Coturnix japonica: one gene and its partner. The protein of the gene in region 2 purifies or fractionates together with the protein of the main gene of each other region. This does not show direct contact. Links are inferred from orthologs where the notes say so. Each region holds a gene or a part of one and is shown on either strand. Other genes may lie near its edges.

What was found. Proteins that work in one complex are often made in the same cells at the same time.
Region 1: the proteins of PTPN7 (region 2) and MAPK14 purify together in Homo sapiens (affinity purification with mass spectrometry; 3 studies listed by BioGRID and IntAct, with this or other methods). This does not show direct contact. The link is inferred for Coturnix japonica from reciprocal best matches to the Homo sapiens genes PTPN7 and MAPK14.

What each region holds. Positions count from the first base shown.
Region 1 is NC_029541.1:528,221-531,876, forward strand, and holds part of MAPK14 (mitogen-activated protein kinase 14), read left to right. Parts: intron 1-230; coding exon 231-360; intron 361-3,345; coding exon 3,346-3,404; intron 3,405-3,656. UniProt on the Homo sapiens protein: Serine/threonine kinase which acts as an essential component of the MAP kinase signal transduction pathway.
Region 2 is NC_029541.1:733,840-737,231, reverse strand, and holds the end of PTPN7 (tyrosine-protein phosphatase non-receptor type 7), read left to right. Parts: intron 1-528; coding exon 529-639; intron 640-1,013; coding exon 1,014-1,171; intron 1,172-1,517; coding exon 1,518-1,631; intron 1,632-2,032; coding exon 2,033-2,126; 3' UTR 2,127-2,757; downstream 2,758-3,392. UniProt on the Homo sapiens protein: Protein phosphatase that acts preferentially on tyrosine-phosphorylated MAPK1. Plays a role in the regulation of T and B-lymphocyte development and signal transduction.

The DNA of each region.
Region 1 (3,656 bases), about 210 kb from region 2:
AACATTCATCTTAGAAACGCTATCAGTAAAACCCAGCATTTATATCTGTGTGTGGGAATTTGCAGCCAGGTTGCAGGCCAGGAAGCCTGGATGTTATTGGTGGTGGAGAGGGAGAAATGGAATCGGCTGTGTGACTCAGTGCCTGCGCAGCCTCTATTTGTAGTTGCTAAATGGATTTGAGGGTGTTTATAAGTGATTCATTTTGACTATTTGATTACTCTTTGTTGTAGTTCTGCCTTTGACACAAAAACTGGGTTGCGAGTGGCTGTAAAGAAGCTGTCCCGACCATTTCAGTCTATCATCCATGCCAAAAGGACCTACCGAGAGCTACGGCTACTGAAGCACATGAAACATGAAAATGTAAGTAGAAGGAGATTATATGAGAAGCTGGGCTACCTGGTGTGATTGCATTCCAGGCTGATTGCACAGGTTTTTCAGATAGTAAGTACATAGCTTGCAGTAGACAGTGAATCGTGATGGAAGGCTTTCTTTCTTGCTTTGTGTCATCATGTCAGAAAGGGTTGGAGCAGTTGTTCACTAGATTCCTGTAGATGAACAGGAATAAAAAAGGGGAGGGGAAGATATCAGACATCTGTTCTTGTAAGCCATCCATTTCAACAACACAGACCATGAATGCTTATACTAAGCTATGCTATATGCTGTCTAATCATTTTTTTCTGTTTAACTTCCATTTGCTGTGGAAACCACTTGAGCAGTTCTTTGTGTTTGTGGCATTAACACACTGGTATATTTATATCGCATGCTGTTCAGAGAAAATATTGCCTGCAATTGAGCAAAAATTATCTTGCCTTCTTTAGAGCTGTCAACATCAAGAGAAAAGGAAGGCTCTTAATTTTTGTACAAGTGAACTCCAATGTAGCAGAAGGGAAATACTGATTTAGAAGTGGACTGAGCAAGCCTAGTGTTTTTAACGCAACAAGCAAGCCCAATTTTGATGGGAGCTTCTCCCTGAATGGTCGGATCAGAACTTCTTTTGTGGCAGTGGTGGTTTTGTGCCGTGGCTTCTTTCTGCCACAGCAAGCAGATGGTATTGCTTGAATCTTGTTTGTGTTGACAGTGTGGCTGATGTAATTGGACCTTTTGGTGCACGCGCAGCCTGAACTCAGCAGTACTTCCTCAGTGCCTCTATGTGATGCTGTTATCTGAGTAACAGAGGCAGCCATCCATCGATCCTGCTTAATATCCATCCCCCTGAGGTTTTTTTTTTTCTCTACCTTTTCTCATACCAGAAATATATTCAAAGCTTTGCTCTGGAACTGTTTGGAGAATGTGTTTAGATGTATCTCTGCATCAGCACATTGATCCATTCTGTCTGAGCTAATTGGGTTAGATTTCTATGATTCTATGGTTCCACAGTGGGAATTAGCCTGGTGCTACAGCAGCTCTGTGTCTGGTGTTCATTAATACTTTTGAATAGTGTCGTGAAGTGCATGTGTAGCTTTGAGAGTAGGAGATAAGATTATATTGTTAGAATTTTTTTGTATATAGAAGTGTTTACTGTCAGTTCATCATACTGCTGTCTGTGGGATTTTTATCTGGGTGTGGTTTAAAATCTTGCAGATGTGAAGATGCTCAGAGCCAGTTCAGGTAGGCTGGTTAGTTCAAGCGAGCTGTCTATTCAGATCTCAGTTTGGAAGTAAAATACCCTGCTTTACATGACGTAGAACACTTCAGCAAATGTGGTAGGTACAATGTTTCAAGGATCTTGAGCAGGGATGGTTTTCTGTTCTATATCTAGACTGATTGTGTTGATCTTGAACAAATAAATCGGCCTGTGGAGCAGTCAAGCATGGTTCTGTTATATGTTCAGGCTCCAGGAGGCCTCATTAGCTTACATAAGGCAGAATACTGAGCAGGTGTGAGAGTCAACTTTAGTGTTGTATGAAGAAGTTAACAACCTAAAATTGAAGGGGAGTGCAGAAATTCAGGAGCTGATTCTTGGTCTGGGGATGACCAGTATGGTTAGAACTGTCAGTGTTGTGCTACAGAGTAATTGCATTTGTGTGTGAAACTAGTCAGTGAGAAATATATGGATAGTTCAGTAGTGTGCTTTACACTGTAGCAAGATGGAAATGGTAAGGGAGGAAATGGAAATCTTGGTAACAAGGTCAGTTTTTGGTTTTTTTTTACTGCTAAACTGGGAGGATAATGTTGCATAATTTTTGTAAACGTTGGCATGGAGAAGTCCACAGAGCAAAGAAAGCATAGGAGTTATTTTGAAGCATGGATGTTAATGGTAAAAGGTTGATTTTGTCATCCTTAACAATTGCAATTGATGGTATTAATATGTGCTGAAAGGGAACGTTGGCATCCAACACTTTGTTTAATATGTATGTTTGAACCACTGCTGAAGTTACTGAAATGTGTGTGATGCGAATGAATCCAAGGCAGGTGAGATGCAAGCCTAAAATAGGAGGAAGGAGTCTGTACCTTTATTTCATAATCCTAAGTAATGCTGTGCTGTTAAGAGAAGGATAATTTTTAAAAGCAAATCTCAGTGGAAATTCAAACAATTTTATGGACCAGATGGATTGTTTTCCAAATGAAATGTCCATGACCTATTCCTTATTGCCTACAGAGTGATGAGGTATAATTGTGCATTTCCATGAGGTAACACATACGTTCCCTTTTGCTCTCCACTGCTGGAACAGCTTAGCTGTGAAAATGAGGGGTAGAGTGGAGACTCTTAGGGCAGCAGATATAAATGGCAGTGTGAAGCTCTCAGCTCTTAGTGAAATTTGGCTCTGTGATGCAGCATGCTGTTTTTGAGACTCATTTCACTTCTTATTTTCCAGTGTAGACATTATTTGTTGCTTTCAGCAGAGATTATTGGTGGTTTCCTTCCTCTAGCTATTACTCAGTGCGAGTGAAAAAAAGTCTCCTGCTGCTGATCTAGTATATAGTCAACAGCACAACTAAGAACCTAGCAGGAAGCAAACTGATTTCTGCCTCGTGTTTGCTCATCCATTTATTTACTCACCAAACTTCAGCTGGGTTTTAAATAAGGTATTTTTAACCAGTGCTGACACTTGCCTTTTATTGCCTTGGCTTGCTGTGGCTCCTGCTTGATGTTGTAAGTAGATGGTTGGTGTAAAAGACAGCTGTATATTTTGACTATCTTTTTTTTTTTTTTTTTTTTACTTAGTATTTGAATGCTTGTTTCTGACCTTGTACAAATACTCATTTGCTTACATCCAAATGATTCATATAGTTGGAAATGAAACATCTGTTGGAAGGAGTAGTTTCTGTTCCACAAAGGACCTTACTGACTGTATCATTCAGATGATTAATGTTTTTCGTGACTTTTTCACTTTGTTTTTCCAGGTGATCGGCTTGCTGGATGTGTTCACCCCTGCCAAGTCTCTGGAAGAATTCAATGATGTGTAGGTAACTTCTCTGGAGATTGCAAGAAAAGTCTTTTGCATCTCCCTTCCTTTCCCAGGCTATTGTAGGAATTTTGCTGCCTTGATTTGTCATTATTTTGAATCAGCTGTGAAATTCAGCACAAATTACTGGGATGCCCCATGCTAATGGACTCTTCCAGCTTGTTTTATTGGCCAGTGCTGTGGGAATTAGCGCACTGATCTGCTACTTTATTTAATGAGCTATGATTTATATTTTATTCAGTAAAATGC
Region 2 (3,392 bases):
GCCTCCTCTTCTCCATCAACTTCACTTGCTCTGGATGTGCTTTGCTAGATGAATAATAGGATAAAAAGAAACAGGGCAGCCTCTGGGAGCTCCCAGATACAGATCCAGGTGATGGGAACTAGCAGCTGTGCCCTGTGTGGTGGCTGCACTGCACCTTGCTGGGATTGCTGGCTCCATGCTCCAGGAACAGTGGGAGCTCACACACTCACCTGGCCCTATTTTTTGCCCCATTGCTCCCTGGCTGCTGGAGCATCCCTCAGGGCGTTTACCTGCACCTTTCACCTGGATCTAGCAGGACATGGATGGGCAAAGGTGTAGCTCCCCAGGGGCTGAAAATCACATGGCAGGGTGTGGGTAAAGTGTGCAGGGGAAGCAAGTGTTGGAAGCGGGATCTGTCCTTCCTTATCTTCCCTTTTATCAGTCCACATCCACCTTCCTCGCTTCTCCAGACCTCACAAAAGCAATGTCCAAAGGATAGCTTAGACCGCAGAGGGTGCCCAGAGCACAAATACTGCTTTCTTCCTGCAGAAATGTGTCCACTATTGGCCTGAGAAGGAAGGCACCTACGGCCCCTTCACCATCCGTGTGCAGGGGATTAACGAGTGTGCAGAGTACGTGGTCCGCAATCTGTCCATCCAGGTGGGTCCAAGCCCCGTCCTGGGGTCAGCAGGGTATTCAGCACCTGGTGGAAACCTGAAATGCCCAGGCTCTGTAGGAGGAGGAATCTGCAGAGCTCTGTCTGCTCAATGAGGTTTGCATGAAACAAGACTTGTGCAGGATGAGCCTTGGGTGTCAGCATGGAAATTAAGTGGGGCTCCTGGGCATGACTGGAACTCTCCTCAGTACATCACTCAGACACCCAAAAGTGTCCCTTGCTCCCTGGGTCTCTGGTAAAGACTCAATGAGTCAAGGAGGAGAGCAGATGAGGTGGGCACAGGCTGGGCACACAGGATGGGAACATCTCCATCTGACCCCATCTCATCTTTATTTCTCTTTCTTCTGTGCTGGAAAAGCTGGAAGGTGAATGCCGCCACATCAAACACATCCTCTTCCCTTCGTGGCCAGACCAGCAGACACCTGAGTCAGCCAAGCCCCTGCTGCACTTGGTGTCCAAAGTGGAAGAGACTCTGCAGGCTGCAGCCAGCTTGGGGCCCATTGTTGTGCACTGCAGGTAAGTGCTCAGCCCTCACCCCTGCTCCCCAGCTTGGGCTCACACCCATGATCCATTCTCCATGCAGAAATCCCAGGGCACAGCAAACCCCCAGCAGGTGTCCCCCAGCATAGGACAGAGGCACAGACTGGTTTTGTGCTTCCAGAGTGGTTGCAGGTGGGCTGAGCAGTATGGCAAGAAGCACTTGTGGTGGCAGAATGGGGCTAGCCTGAGAAAGCTGGGACTGGGACCTCTGCATCCCTATAGGGATAAATCAGGGTAGCAAAGCAGCCAAGGAGCACACCCAGCTCAGAAGGCCTAAGGTCCAGGCGCTGTGGGTGCTCAGCACAGCTGTGTCCATCTGCAGTGCAGGCATTGGTCGGACGGGCTGCTTCATTGCTACCAGGATTGGGTGCCAGCAGCTGAAGGACAAGGGAGATGTGGACATCCTGGGAATCGTGTGCCGCCTCCGCATTGACAGGTTGGTGCTCAGGCAGGTGTCCCTGGAGGATGCTGCTGGATGCAGGAGGGATGCGGGAGGTTACAGGGATGAGCATCCCAAGGAGGTGTGGAGGTGATTTGTGGTAGAAAATGGAAGGCTTTCTGAAAGATGGAGATGTGGGGACAACAAAGGATTACCCAGTGCTGGATTGGTTTTGTTGTCAGGGTTATTTTAGCTCTGGGAACCCAAAGTCATGAAGGAGAGCAGCCCCGAACCCATCAGCTGTTGTGCTCCTTCCAGCTCAGCCACTGACCTCTGAAACATGGCCAGACACTCTTTGAGGAGCTCTGGGTGCATAAAGACGGGGTGGGTGACACAGGAATGTCTGTGCCATGGGAGCAGGGCTGGGGTTTTGGTGAGTGTCAGCATTTCCTTTGCAGAGGCGGGATGATCCAGACCAGTGAGCAGTACCAGTTTCTCCATCACACACTAGCCCTGTATGCTTCCCAGCTGCCAGATGCAGGAGGCCATTAGCACGGGGCTCCACCGCTTGCTGCCTCGCTCTGAACTCCCTCAGTGCCAAACCTGGGGACAACTCTGCTAAATCTGCTCCTGCTGCACCCAGCCATAAGCCTGAGCCTCCCAGAGGCTGAGCAAAGCCATTGGGATTGCGGCCCCATGACCCTCAGGGCAATGAGAGTTTGGGGTTTGCACAAGGCACGCAGCAGGATGCACTACGCAGAAGAGGACTGATGCTGAGCAGTCTGCCTGCTAGAAATCAACAGAGCTTTTCCTCCAGCTGCACATCATCTGTGGGCAGAAGCTGGCACACACGGGGCTCACTCCCAGCACACTCCTCGATGCTCTTCTTGCTAAAGACGCACCTGGAGGATTTATTCCAAAGCTGCATTGCTGGTTGCCTTCATTACATGGCCTGCTTTCCTCTCTGCCTTCAGCCATTGCCTTCCCACCTGCCTTAAAGTAGGGGATACTCTTAAGTGTGTCTGCACTTTTGCAAGCACTGTGCTCCAAGCTGTAACCCACACGAGGGTGGGGGGGTTGTTTTCTTGAGGTTGGTTTTTTTTCCTGTTGGAATCAGAGCAAAATAATACACCCATTTTGTTGTTTCTTTTTCACTGTGTAAATAGAAATGTTTCATCCTTAATTCTGCCATTCTCCTGTCATCTCAGCAGCCCAGGAAGAGAGGGAAGCCCTCTGTGTGTGTCCCCACAGTCTCTCTGCATCCTTGCAGTTTTCAGGTGGTGGCCATGAGCTAACAAAGCAGAGCAAACCACACTAAGGCCTTTCCTCGCACTCGCATCCAGCAGGACGTGCAACTCGTCTCATGCTTCCAGATGCCTATCAAGGAGAGAGCCGTCAGGGCAGGAGCTGTACAAAGGTTCTCCCAAGACAGGCAGAGACCCAGTAGCTGGCGAGGGGGGAGGGGATGTTGTAACCCCTCTCAGATTTCCTATCGGGGCTGGGAGTTTTGCCAGATGAGCTCTCTGATGCTGATCACAATCGGTTCAGCAGTTTCCTTGTCTTTCAATCTCAATTTCTACCCACTCAATCTGTTCAAGGCACTTATCAGCCATTACCACGGCACTATCTGGGTATCTCAGTCCTCCCTGTATTTATTCCCCGTGCACTCCTTGGGGCCATGCTGAGCTATTGCTGTGTTATTGCGAAATGCCATCCCATGGCTCCTGCAATGTCAGGGGCAAAGTGAAGTGCTCCATCTGGTCTGGCTACATCAGGGTATGTCCTGGGAAACTGTGGCATGCCCAGCATGCAAAGGAA